Linked DNA regions of Arabidopsis thaliana. The protein of the gene in region 2 interacts with the protein of the main gene of each other region in a pairwise test. Each region holds a gene or a part of one and is shown on either strand. Other genes may lie near its edges.

Region 1 (7,928 bases), on a different chromosome or scaffold from region 2:
GTCGAAGTGGTAGACAGATTCACAGTTATGTTGTGCAGAGGTCTTGGCTGCAAACCCATGTTTTTGTATGTAATTCACTTGTTAGTTTCTATTTGAGAGTCGGAAGGATAGAAGAAGCAGCCTCATTGTTTACCAGGATGGGTTCTAAAGATCTAGTTTCATGGAATGTTGTCATAGCTGGTTATGCATCAAATTGTGAGTGGTTTAAAGCATTTCAGTTATTTCACAACTTGGTGCATAAGGGGGATGTTTCTCCTGATTCGGTAACTATTATCAGTATCCTTCCTGTCTGTGCGCAATTAACTGACTTGGCCTCTGGGAAAGAGATCCACAGTTATATATTGCGCCATTCTTACCTTTTGGAGGATACATCAGTTGGGAATGCTCTCATTAGTTTCTATGCAAGATTTGGTGACACAAGTGCAGCATATTGGGCCTTTTCACTGATGTCCACGAAGGATATAATATCTTGGAATGCTATACTTGATGCCTTTGCAGACAGTCCAAAGCAGTTTCAATTTTTGAATCTCTTGCACCACTTACTTAATGAAGCAATCACTCTTGACTCTGTTACTATTTTAAGCCTACTAAAGTTTTGCATAAATGTACAGGGAATTGGTAAAGTAAAAGAAGTTCATGGGTACTCAGTTAAGGCTGGTCTTTTACACGATGAAGAGGAACCCAAGCTTGGCAATGCATTGCTTGATGCATATGCCAAATGTGGTAATGTTGAATACGCTCATAAGATTTTTCTGGGTTTATCAGAGAGGAGAACTTTGGTTTCCTATAACTCATTGTTATCAGGATATGTTAATAGTGGAAGTCATGATGATGCTCAGATGCTCTTCACTGAGATGTCTACTACTGATCTCACCACTTGGAGTTTGATGGTTCGTATCTATGCTGAAAGTTGTTGCCCTAATGAAGCCATTGGTGTTTTCCGTGAGATTCAAGCTCGAGGAATGAGGCCTAACACTGTGACTATCATGAATCTCCTTCCTGTTTGTGCGCAGCTAGCCTCTCTGCATCTAGTAAGACAATGTCATGGATATATTATTAGAGGCGGACTTGGTGATATCCGCCTGAAGGGGACTCTACTAGATGTATATGCTAAATGTGGCAGCTTGAAGCATGCATATTCTGTCTTCCAGTCAGATGCTCGTAGAGATCTGGTTATGTTCACTGCTATGGTAGCTGGGTATGCTGTACATGGTAGGGGCAAGGAAGCACTTATGATCTACTCTCATATGACTGAATCAAACATAAAGCCCGATCATGTTTTCATAACTACTATGTTGACTGCATGCTGTCATGCAGGGTTAATACAGGATGGATTGCAAATATATGACTCAATAAGGACAGTTCACGGTATGAAACCTACAATGGAACAATATGCTTGTGCTGTAGATCTAATTGCTCGAGGGGGTCGACTTGATGATGCATATTCTTTTGTCACACAGATGCCAGTTGAACCTAATGCAAATATATGGGGAACACTGTTAAGGGCGTGTACAACCTATAATAGGATGGATCTGGGGCACTCAGTTGCAAATCATCTCTTGCAAGCTGAATCTGACGACACCGGAAACCACGTTCTAATATCGAATATGTATGCTGCAGATGCTAAATGGGAAGGCGTGATGGAGTTGAGAAACCTAATGAAGAAAAAGGAAATGAAAAAGCCAGCGGGATGTAGCTGGCTAGAAGTGGATGGGCAAAGGAATGTCTTTGTGTCTGGAGATTGTTCTCACCCTCGTAGAGACAGTATTTTTGACTTAGTAAATGCTTTATATCTTCAGATGAAAGAGCCTGTGGTGTTTTAATCGATGAAAATTGTTAAAACGCTGCGAAGCTAGATCATGATGGTCTACACAAAGCAATTGCACATATGACACAGACAAATCTTGAGTGAACAATGTAAGAGAACAATCTTCCTCTTCCAATGATATTGTTGTGAAACTCTACATGTACATAATCTTTGGGATAGTAGGCAGAGAACAAACTTATGATTAATCTGTCGGGTTTATGGTTTGCCACTCGAATTGGGAGATGTTAAAGGAAACAAAGTAAGCAATTCTGGTTCTGTATACCCCGGTTTAGACCTTGGCGATGGATGCAAGTAAAAGCGTCTTTCTTTAATGGCTTTCTCCTCTTCTTCGATGTTTGTTGTACAACTATCTGGTTCCCCTTCTATCAAGGACAAGTTAGAGAACAATGAAGAAGGGGTGCCCACTGGACTTGTTAAAAGGTTGGTATTACCAGATTTAGATGATGGTGTCGTACCAGTGGGCTTAAAGCTCAGAGGAGGTTTGACAATTTCAAGCTTTGGCCTCATACATTGCCTTCTCTCATGGAGCTTTGAAGTTGGCCTCTTTTGTATGGCGGTTTTTATCACTGTTGCTTCTGGTGTTGCTGCTGCAGCGTTGTTCTCTGTTGGACCTGTCAAGCGCTGCACAATTTCTCTGAAAGTGTTGGTGTCAGTTTGGACAAATGTAGTGACAGGCTTGCAGGTTGTTGCAACGTTTTGACTCCCTTTGCTATTCATATGTAAGTGTTTCTCTGACAAAACAACCTTTGATTTACACCTATTTTGGTCTCTGACCTGCAACAAAACTACCGTTTATGCAGTTGATGAGAAGATGAAAAAATATTCAAACATGAAAGGTCCTATCAAGAGAACCGAGGAATGTCAACTTCATGTGAGTTCAGAGATTAGATTGATGGAAGGTTAGAAATACTCAGAAGTCTTCTTGTAATCCAAAATTAGGTATTTGTTAAAGATTTCCTTCGTCATAATTTTTCAAAAACAAGCAACTCAAAACATAAATAGCTACAGATACAAAAGATGAGGTAGTCGTGTACTCAAACCTCACCACTTTTACAAGAGCACTAGATTCTTATGTGGGGAAAAATAATAAAAAATTGGCTTCTCCTAAATTTGCTTTGACTTGTTGTATACTCAAATATCTATATCAAAGTTTGGTGCTCTTACTAATTGTAGGAATGACAATGAAGAGGGCTTTTCATGTCCTAAATCTATCTTCATCGTCATAATCATCATCTTTATGGTGGTTACTAGTTCATATGATGAGAGAACTGTTAATAAAAGTTTCTATGTAGCATTCAATTTACGATTTGATAACCCTACAGGAGTCAGAGAGAATGATAAAAAGGTCAAAAGGCATACCTGAAGAGCAAGCCGAGGCAACAAGTGGAGGTAAAATCGAATGAGAATGCCGGATTTTTTTCTGAAGAAATAGAACTTAAAACAGAAGAAGGAAATAAAAAGAGAGAGAAAGAACTAAAAGAAGATATAAAGACTGTTGTTGGTCTAATGGTCACAGCTCAGAACTTGTTCATATTACCAGAAAAGAGAAGAAAATGAAAAGAGGAAAATCAGGAGAAGAATATGGAGAGGAAAGAGGAAAAGGACTCTTTTATCCCTTTGTTCTTAACCGTTTTTGGGTTTGGGTTTTTGTCACACAAAAAAGATAATAAATTATTTTGTTTATAGAACTAAGTTTGTTTGGTCAAACATCAAAATGACATAATTTGTGATGAGTTTATTTCATTGTTGTCGTGAAGGAATGGAGAAAGGAAGTTAAAGAAGGAAGAAATGCATGCCGTTTCGGTTAAGGAGATGGGTAGAGAGAGACGTCACAGCAACCTCTCTCCCCCGCCCAATTTATAAACCAATCGTTTTTTTTTTTTTGGCTGTCTCTGTTGAATGTGATGAGATATTATTAACTGTACTCATGACAGTTTCTTAACTGACTCTATTCGTCCTCTGTGGATAATTTTGTTGACTCATTTCAAGTTATGGCCATAACAATTAACAACATTATTCACTGGCATTGTCAAAGATAGGAGGCAACAACCTTTACCTGTGAGTTACGAATACGTTGTCGTTTCTTTTCCTTTTTTGCTTTGGACTGATAAATTTTGTTGCACGATAATAGTTGACTCTTTTCTATGCGTTTTTATTTCATTTCATACACAAAATTACGGAACTTGAATACCATTTTTATCTTGTTTTGACCAAAAATATTACAGCTTTTAAAATTCTAAAATTGCCAAAAGAAATGTATTAATCTTATTACTGTAGAGATGTCTATAGTCGTTTGAATCTTGTAGAACTTACCATGTGTCTCTCTAGTATCTAACTATCTTTATTCCAAACTTCAACCACTTTTACTCTAATGCTAACAACTGGGCATATCTATCATAAAGCAAATTTTACAACATGATGTGATTTCTACAATGTAACCATTCCTTTTTGTGTCTTTGTAATACCTTTGATTATGCTAAGGTTGCTCTTTTGCCCTTTGCTTCTCTTGACTACAAGCAAAATAAGATTTTGATGTTGTTAGTAATCAACAACTGGGTTTGTATAAAAGGGAAGAGGAATTAGAGTGGAGATGAGAGAGATACCGATTTTCTTGAATCCAGAAACTGGCTATATATGTCATAGAGCTTTTGTTTCTCGGTTTCGGAAACCGATGGTTTAGTTTTAGAAGCAATCGACTTCAGAAGAGGATCAGTTATTATTGGTGTAGTTCCGGTCTCGGGTTTATCTTCTCTGTTCAGATACTCGTGTACAGCTGCAAGTTGCGCATCTGAGAGAAGAGCTTGAAGATCAGCTCCACTGAAGCCTTCAGTCATCAAAGCTATAGGCTCTAGGTCAATATCATCAGCCATCAGAAGCTGTAAAAATGCAGAAAGATTTTTTGTCATCTTAACTACTTGTAATATATATAGATAAATCTTATCTACATATTGTCTAGGGAGACCATCAATTGAATGTCAGAATCCAATGGAAATCGCTTAGCCATAGAAGATTCTAGTTAATGGTCGTTCAGATATGTAGCATACATACTTTACATGAGACTTGAGGACAAAAATGATTAGCAGAAATGATGTAACTGAGAGTACTAACCTTTCTAGAAAGAACTGTAAGAATCTCTAATCGTTCTGGTGGGGAAGGAAAGTCGCACAAAAGAAGACGATCAAGCCGGCCAGGCCTTAGGAGGGCAGGATCAAGTAAATCTGGTCTACTGTTAATTGAGTCATGTATCCATTATAAAGTCATTATCCCTCTTTTGTATGTAATGAAAAACATAAATTGAGGACTGAGCACAGGCTTCAAGATTATCATATTTAAGATTTATTATTAACTATCAACTCAGAAGAATCCACCGTTTGCAGTTGATTATATGATACATCGAACACAAAATATGATATGCAAGATAGACTTATTCGGGTGTGAATACCTGGTTGCAGCAAATACAAAGACCCCTGTTAGAACTTCAACTCCATCCAGTTCTGTCAAAAACTACGCAAAAGAAAAATATGACATGAGATGTTTGAACTTTGACTTGGATAGAATTTGCTCAGACTTTGAAGTAACTTACTTGATTAACAACTCGATCAGTTACACCAGTATTATCATGTCCTCTTTTGGGAGCAATTGAATCGAATTCATCGAAAAAGAGTATGCATGGAGCTGCAGCTGCTGCTTTCGAAAATATATCACGGACCTGAGAGAAGTGTGTTTTCCATTATTGTATATGCGGAACCATTAGGATAACATTTTCAGATTTTTATGTAAAGAGACTAGCAGGAATAACAATTAAAAAGGAACAAAGCTGTCTGAAAACTTTTCTCTAGAAACATTTTCAGAGGTTTCTTTATCATTCTATTGTTTAATACAAGGTAAAGACTAGGCAAGAAACCCAGAAAAATCAAAATAAATTCAACAGTATAGATAATAGCATGCGTCACTAAAGAACTGAATAGGTTGATAACCATCTCAAAGGTTCTTGAAGATGGAAAACAAAGAAAGGTTGTCATTCTTACCGCTTGTTCAGATGCACCAATGTATTTGTTTAACAGCTCAGGCCCCTTCACCGATATAAACCGTAGGGAACACGCTGCAGCAGCTGCACCAACAATGTGAGTCTTCCCACAACCGGGTGGGCCATACAAGAGAACATTCGATCTCAAACGCAGAGGAGATTTTGCAAAGATTTTTGGAAATTTTGATGGCAGCTCAATCATCTGGACATGGCAAAGAGCAATAAAGTTGCATATCTAGAATTATATCTCTAAATAAGAACTGGTTCAAACTGTAGTTGTTAGCATAACTAGTAGCTCTTATATAGCCCAGTGGAATTATTTCCGTGAGATTCATTCCAAGATATTTCAACTTATATCAACTCAGGTCTTACAGAAATATTGTTTCCCACTGAACACGACCTAACTTCAGTAAGTAAAAGCCAACAGACAAAGAGGCAGGAAACAGATGCTTCCTGGTTGCAATTATAAAAGGATAACATTTATTGGCAAGATTTCCTACCCCACACTAATTTAGATTTTAATGAGGGCAACAAAATCAGATATGGCAGTAAGCATAGTCATATACCTCTTTGATAGCATTTTTAATATCAGTCACACCTCCCACATCTTCCCACCCCAAACGACCACCTTCAGAGGCAGATTTTGTGATGTCACGCATGGCAACAGGCACAAAATCATGCATAGCTCGAGTAAAGTCTTCTTTGACCAAATTATATTTGGATATATTTGATTCTAAAGGTAGATGCCGGCCAATGGCAGCATGAACAGCTCTATCAACCAATATTTCCTGGAAAAAAAAAAAAAAAAAAAGAGAATTCAAAGAGAGCACACTGTAGATCTGCGGACAGAATGATAATCAAGTTAAAACGAAATAGCAAGCTTGAACAATAAAATTTATAACATGAAAATCACAGATAGTATCAGCTTCCAAAGTCTGTCAACATTTCTGTCAAATGTCTTTTCTGGTCTTAGCACAACGGCAAATTTAAAAGCATATAGAAAAATTTAAATACCAGGTCATATGCATCATATCCTTCACATTTAGCAGCTAAGTTAAGTAAAATGTCTTCTGAACAGTCTAAAAGGCGTTTCTGTATCTCATGCTTCAGTATGGCCCCACGTTCCGAGGTAGCAGGAGCAGCCAGTTGCACATGGAAGTCAAACCTTCCTGAAAATGTCAAATGAATAATCACATGAACTGATTCTGGTAGAACTAATATTGTTAAAACAGGTAGAAGTAGTGGTATATAACACGTTTGTACCTGATGAGCTCAATGTCTGTGGAATTTGCTCTAGAGACTGGACAGAAGCAACGAATGCAAGTGGGCCAATTCCACAAGAGGAATTCCTGTATTCCTGTTGAGTGAACAAAAATATAACTGGTTAAATAAACGTGAGTCAGATATATAAATATATCATCTAGAAATGAGGCTAAATGCATATGGAGATGAGTGGATTCAAGAAGTTCCAAGAACAACCACTTAATGTTGTATGCGTTAATAAGAAAGGTGAAAGCAGTTATCCGGACTATCAAGAGAAATGACATTTGTCTTCGCATGGAGGAAGTCTTGCATTTAGATAATTAAATTCACCACACTTCGGAAAGTAACTCGTGATGCATAGATAATTGTGATCATAAACGTGCATATTTGAAAATAGTGAACTGTTGGACCTTATATTTTTCAAGAGTTCATACCCCATAATCATCTATAACATCTGTTAGGAATTTTGTAAGCATTGTAACCCCAACCGAAGCTTGTGTTCCTTCAGTATCAGAAGACGATGAGATAATGCTATCAAGATCATCCAAAATGATGACAGATGGTGCATGTTCCAACCCCTCAGCTATTACACTAGAAAGGACATGATGGATGTGTTGAACCTTCTCCAAGGCAAGTGTAGAACAGGATACTAAAATCCTGCACAAGGAAACCAATACTTAAGACCACATCTGTACCAGAATTAGTCTCTTAAAAATAAATGGAGTTGGTTGGAGTAGATCAGTGCAGACAAACATAAACCAAACCAAAATGACTCACACATGTGCCAACAAGTCTTTCTGTTCTTCGAAA
Region 2 (6,687 bases):
TTTTGAATGTATACAAGACACAACTTTGTGTTTGAGTCTTCCACAATCATTTAAACAGCTGTTTTCTAGTTCAATAATTTGAAAGAATATTGACAGATTATTTGGATTTTTAACACTAAATGCATTAGTTTTAGTTAGTTCAACATTCCAGTTTGCTCCTAAATAATCTTTCGCAATTATATTTAGCTGGAGACAACCATCTTTTTTCATACACAAACTTATGTTTATTAGTTTTTTTTTTTGTTTATAAACTTTTTTTTACATTTGACTTGCGGAATAGTAGTGGAGTGTATTCATTTTCATATGGGATAATATATGGTTCAAATCTCTCGACATTCAGGAAACAGATTTTTCTACGCATAGCAGGTAAATAAAGATAAATCACACACACAATTGAAAAACATACATAATTAATAACCAATAAAATCCTTGTTGAAATCAACAAAATAAAAAAAGGATTCCAGAAATGTATTAATCTCCGATCGTCTATGTTTATGGATCGTACATTATTGAAAATTAGATTATGATTTAAGAAAACTATATTTGAAATAAGGTAATTAAAAGAAGTCGCGAAGGGAAGGGAGCTTGATCTCTCCCTGAGTAGAGACAGGAATGGTGATATCACCAACAACAGGAATGTCGAAGGTTAGCCCAATGTCTAGTTGATAGTCAATGTCCCAGTCCGTACACATATCCTTCATCAGACTAACCGCTATGCTATAAGCCACCTTAACCGGTACGTCCAGAACCGTCGTGCCGCTCCCAACCAACGAACCCGGGTCCGGTATCGTGCCTGACGCGATCGTCCTACGCATGCCACAAACATTATTAATCAGCACATGATGAATGTACGTTACACCTATACATGGCGTGTGCATAACGTTACATAAAAAGTACTGTTATGAAAATGTTATCTAAGCTTAAATCCTCAAAATACAAAAGCTGAGACCATCTATATAGCTTTGTGCCTTTGTTTCCTTGATAACACGTGTTATTAGTAATGTCATATTATGTATACAGTAGACTTGTGTAAATATATACATTAGGATTGATATAAGATGCTAGATATCATCAATGCACATGGATAATGAAATTAGTATATGTATGTATATATAATGCGGCACAATGCGATAAAAATACAATTAGTGAGAAAATGAGATCTAGCCATTTCGGTGATGAGACCAGACAAATTACCAACGAAATCCATACACATATATATTAAATACTGTTATCAATTAAAAATAGTCAAACATTAGATCGGATATACCTAATTGATACACATTTCTATTCATTAGTACAAAGATCGGATACACTTAACGAAAAATATCACATATATATTTTTCATATTCTCAAAATTTAGATGATCAAAATATGTGTCACAAATTCTATTTATCTTAGGCTAGATCCGGAATACGGATACTATCATGATATGTGTGTAATAAAAAGTGCACAATACGGTGTTAGAGTAGATCAGACGGTACAAGAAGAAAAAAAAGAGAAGATGACCTTGTGGCACTCTTGAGGATGTAAGAGATCTGGCAGATAGGGATGGATTGAGAGTAAGGATTCTTGACGGAGACCTTGGCGTGATAATCTACTCCATCACGTGTCACGCCTTTGAAATCAACGTCGTCCACGGTTGCTTCCGGCGTCGGAATATTCGCCAGCTTCTCCGCAAAGAAACCTTTGGCTTTGTCCAACAAGCTTGAAATCACCGAAGCCTTCTCTTCCACCACCTTTTCATCCGCTGATGCCATTCTTTTTTTTTTTTTTTTGGTGTTGTTTCTTCAAAGGATCAGATCTCTCTTTGTCTCTCTCTCTCTTTTCTAAAGTTTATGGCGCTGTCGGTTCTATATATTTTGGTACCTCTTTTAAGGATGATAAATACCTTAATTGCCGGAGCGTGACATTTTTGATTTTTCTTTGGTTGTTGGAAAAGGAATAATATAATAATTTTTCCATCATTAGAAAAGGAATAAGATCCTTTTTTTAGAGCATCATGGTCATAACGTGCGTTCTTACTTCTTTGCTCGTCCGAAAAAAAGATGAAACATGTTTATTATAGAATATACTACAATTATATTTTGTATATTATGACTTTTAAATTAGCAATATGTTTTAACTTTTAAGCAATATCCTAAAAAATTAATTATTAGTTGTTTTACTATTATGACCAATTATTTTTAATAGATTTTAACATTATCAAAACTTAAACTTTAAAGATATTTAACAACTACATGTTGAGTAGTACTACTTTCTAAACATTAATTTTTGGTAAATAATCCCAAGAAGATGAAAATATAAGAGATTATTTTATCTTCCTAAAATTAGTCAAAACATATATATTTTATAATTTTAAAGATTATTTGAGATTTAGAGGTATACATACTTACCTTCCCATTGATTGCATTTGCTTAAGTTGAAAAGTGGATTTATATATGGAAGAAGAAAAAAAATATGAAAATGTAGTTTTTTTGTTTCTTCTTTTAATTCGGCAATCCATATTTATTAGTACACTTTGTGGCTTCAACTTCGCCAAGACTTGTTCGCTTCTTATTTTCGGTGACTATTTAAGGATGCTGATCAAAACTTGAAAGCAATTCATGTAATATATCGGAACTGACTTCGTACATGTGACATGTCTCATTGACATTGTTCATCGTGTAAATAAACAAAACAATAATCACTCACGATAAGCCAATAGGTTTATTCAAACGAAAGGAAACTGATTTGGCTTGAGAAAAATCTATGGAAACCAAATCCGGTTTTATTCAGTTTACCAGACGATATTGCTCTATGCCTCTCTATAATCATCACGTGGTAATCGTTTTACCGGAATATTACAATTGATTTGTTTTTTTATTTTGGTTATATGCTTAAAACTGATTTATAATCAAAACGAGATTGCAACTATGAACATGCAAACATATATGATTACAATGCTTTAATTTGCTCCGTTATATGAACCATGGAACATTAGACCATCTCCACCAGTAAAAATAAAGAAAGTTTCTCAAAAACATATTAATTAATATTTTAATCAAAACAGATACATTAATTATTATTTAATAGTTGAACTAATAGTGTGATTACACCTGTCCAATCATCCGAGAAATTTAACTCTCCTTCTCTCCTACTTTTTCTCCCTTCTCTCATATTTTTTTTTTAATTTTTTTTCTTTTGTTAGGTATCTCATTGAGATACTTCCATTGGAGATGCTCTTAGAACGTTAATATATATACAAACATAATTAGGTGAACTTAGAGAGGAACTGCAATTGATGAAGAAGAGGAGTTAGGGTTTGCATGAGCTCCTCACAAGGATGGTTATGGATTCCTTCATAAGTTGTCTCCACAATGCTCGTCTCCTTCGACAGCCTCTGAACTTGCTTCTTCACGTTACACATGTGTTGTGTGCATCTATAATAGCTCCTTTTGATGATCATAAGTGAGAAGAAACACACAAAAAAACAATCTTTTTAAAAACAATTTCAGATTATTTATGTTAAAAAGTTTACCTGGGATACAAGCTGTTCTTGACGGATTTCTGACCGTACTTTCTCCATCGATAACCATCATCGAGAATATCTGCATCACTCTTTGTGCGAAACGAAAATCGCGGATTTTTCATCTTCTTATCTCGAGAAGAGTCGACGAGGCCATTCATTAATGAAGAGGAGATATGATGAATCAACGAATTGTGTGTTAGAATTCTTCGTGTGATTTATATTGAAGAGATATATAAAAAGGTTTAGAAGCCAACTACATTCAACTACTTCAGACCAACAACAACAAAAAATTCCTTCACGTCATCTCACACGTGTGTGACTTAAAAAACAGAGACATGGTTTGGTCTTTACTTGAACTCCTGGAAACTGTAAACAGTAGAATCCGGTTTTGGTATCACAATGCGCAATCTCATAAAAAAGAACCGAAGCTACGATCTTAAAGGAGCTCGTGCAGAACCCTCGGATGCTCTCCAACTCCAAGAGAGTTCCAACTAGTAACCGCGATCTCAATCTCTACATTTCTCTATCTAAACCCAGAAACGGAAAAATAAAAAAGGAATCGCCTTTGGAACAGAAGTTCAATAAGATCGAAACAGAGACTGGGTTAGGCTAGAGCCTAGAGAGAAACAGAGACTGGGTTAACATAACCAGACTGAACCAAAATCCGGTTTAATATAGTAAAGATATTTTAAAACTATCTCCGTTGCCGGGACTCGAACCCGGGTCTCTCGGGTGAGAGCCGAGTATCCTGACCAGCTAGACTACAACGGATCTTGTTGATTTCGTTAAAATATTGAATTTATAGTTAAGCTATCACAATTCCTAACAGTGTCATTGCTATGCTTGATTTGTGTGTGAAACCCAGAACTGAATCGCCACTTGCCAGAATCTAAACAGCGTCCTCACTCACTAGGAATTGAATCTTCTTAAAAGTAAAATTCCTTGTTCTTGTAAACACAGACACAGTCACAGATAAGAGGGTTTCTTCATCTTCACAACAATGGCGTCCTCACTCACTAGGAATTGCTCTCGCTTCTCAAAAGCCATCTCTGTCCGTTTCATGAGTAACCTACCGGAAAACACCGTCTACGGAGGACCAAAGCCACAAAACCCAAACCAAAGAGTGACGCTAACGCATCTCAGACAAAAACACCGGAGAGGAGAACCGATCACCGTCGTAACTGCCTACGATTACCCATCCGCCGTTCATTTAGACACAGCTGGTATCGATGTTTGTCTTGTCGGTGACTCAGCTTCCATGGTTGTTCATGGTCACGACACAACACTTCCTATCTCCTTAGACGAGATGCTTGTTCATTGTCGTGCCGTTGCTCGAGGCGCTAAACGACCTCTCCTAGTTGGTGACTTGCCATTTGGTACCTACGAGTCAAGCTCTAGTCAGGTAATGTTATAAAATTGAATCTTTTTTTCTTCTAGATACCTAAATTAAACATATTTGTTGATAAGGCATGTTCTTCTGCTTAATTTTTGTGTAGGTAATTAGATTCTTGATTGCAATTTCAATACCTGAATTAATCACAACACTCAGTGGGACTTACAATGTTCAATTCATTTCCTGATCAAATGTTTAGGTGATTGGATTCTTGATAAAAAAAGTCTTAAATGATACATTATGTGTCAATGTGTCATTGCCTGTGTAATCACAGATTTAGCTTTAGTACTTGCTTATGCAAAGTAGATTCTTTACAAGATTTTGTGTCAATGAAACAAATTAGGGACCTGATTTTGGGTTTAAATGTTGGCTTCAGGCGGTTGATACTGCGGTTAGGGTTTTGAAGGAAGGAGGAATGGATGCGATTAAGCTCGAAGGAGGATCAGCTTCTAGGATCACTGCTGCAAAAGCTATAGTTGAAGCAGGAATTGCGGTTATTGGTCATGTGGGTCTAACCCCTCAGGCGATTAGCGTTCTTGGTGGTTTCAGACCCCAAGGCAGAAACATAGCTAGTGCTGTTAAAGTTGTTGAGACTGCAATGGCTTTACAAGAAGCTGGATGTTTTTCGGTTGTTTTGGAATGCGTTCCACCTCCTGTAGCTGCTGCTGCAACTTCTGCCCTCAAGATACCAACCATTGGCATTGGGGCTGGACCTTTCTGCAGTGGACAGGTTTTATTTGAAAAGTTTCGTTCTTTCCGGTTTTGTGTGTAGCCAAGAGACAAATTTGCATTTCTCATACCTGTTAATTGTTTTCTTGGAAATGCAGGTGCTAGTTTACCATGATCTTCTTGGTATGATGCAACATCCACATCATGCCAAGGTAAAATCCTGACACAATTATTGTTTTCGAAACGCATTCTCTTGTTCGTTCGTTCGTTATCAACATGCTTCTTGTTTCATGCTCTTATATTTCACAGGTTACTCCAAAGTTTTGCAAGCAGTACGCTAATGTCGGAGAAGTGATTAACAAAGCCCTAATGGAATACAAAGAAGAAGTCTCTAAAAAAGTGTTTCCAGGTCCTTCTCACAGTCCTTACAAGATCACAGCAAGTGAGCTCGATGGGTTCTTAACCGAGTTGCAGAAGCTTGGTTTTGACAAGGCTGCTTCTGCAGCAGCTTTAGCAGCTGAGAACATGGAGCCTTCAAAGTGACAATTGTATCCAAAAGCTTGAGATATATTGTCAATTGTACTTAAGACACTAGAGAATTATCATTTTTTTCAAGAGAATGCAAATTCATAGAGTACGGTTAAAACTTGAGACGGTGCAAGGTTGAAGAGGTTCAAGCATGGTTTCTCTGTTGCTTGTCCAACCGAGAAGAATGGACCTTTGTTTTAATGCGACAGTGATAGTATGTTTATATGTGTCATCTTGAATAGATTCATTACAGATCTCTAAGAGCAGAGTATCCCATATTAGTTTCAGAAGCAAGTTTCATATATTTACGGTTAAAAAAATCTAATTTGAAATTGACATCATTCTTCATCTGCGCTAGTTTTGTGTCCCCACTAAACCACGGCTGGGTCTCAGAAGTTGTTTGAACAGAGCAATCTTAGGGACATTCCAATGCTCCACGTGCCTGCAAGCCAACATTCATCAAAATATGTTTAACCAGCTTCTTCTTCTTCACAAAAGATTTCAAAGTTGAAAAGAGATTAGTGGGGTTTATATTAATGAGCTCATAAGTAATCTTTTTACCTGCAAATTTTCCCGGATTCTGTGTCGA

The links. Proteins that work in one complex are often made in the same cells at the same time.
Region 1: the proteins of WRKY43 (region 2) and AT5G08480 interact in binary tests that used the Arabidopsis thaliana proteins (3 or more experiments, as listed by UniProt).

Annotation. Positions count from the first base shown.
Region 1 is NC_003076.8:2,739,103-2,747,030, reverse strand, and holds AT5G08480 (VQ motif-containing protein), read right to left. Parts: upstream 3,713-7,928; 5' UTR 3,188-3,712; exon of another isoform or gene 2,614-3,187; 5' UTR 2,546-2,613; coding exon 2,024-2,545; 3' UTR 1,920-2,023; downstream 1-1,919. Other genes in the region: SLG1 (Tetratricopeptide repeat (TPR)-like superfamily protein), read left to right, coding at 1-1,823; PEX1 (peroxisome 1), read right to left, coding at 4,300-4,338, 4,432-4,704, 4,937-5,054, 5,271-5,332, 5,412-5,537, 5,857-6,057, 6,422-6,643, 6,870-7,024 and 3 more. UniProt on the Arabidopsis thaliana protein: May modulate WRKY transcription factor activities.
Region 2 is NC_003071.7:18,954,233-18,960,919, reverse strand, and holds WRKY43 (WRKY DNA-binding protein 43), read right to left. Parts: upstream 3,709-6,687; 5' UTR 3,667-3,708; coding exon 3,518-3,666; intron 3,432-3,517; coding exon 3,251-3,431; 3' UTR 2,995-3,250; downstream 1-2,994. Other genes in the region: AT2G46140 (Late embryogenesis abundant protein), read right to left, coding at 558-807, 1,507-1,757; KPHMT1 (ketopantoate hydroxymethyltransferase 1), read left to right, coding at 4,509-4,910, 5,278-5,631, 5,729-5,782, 5,880-6,113; AT2G46100 (Nuclear transport factor 2 (NTF2) family protein), read right to left, coding at 6,453-6,540, 6,660-6,687. UniProt on the Arabidopsis thaliana protein: Transcription factor. Interacts specifically with the W box (5'-(T)TGAC[CT]-3'), a frequently occurring elicitor-responsive cis-acting element.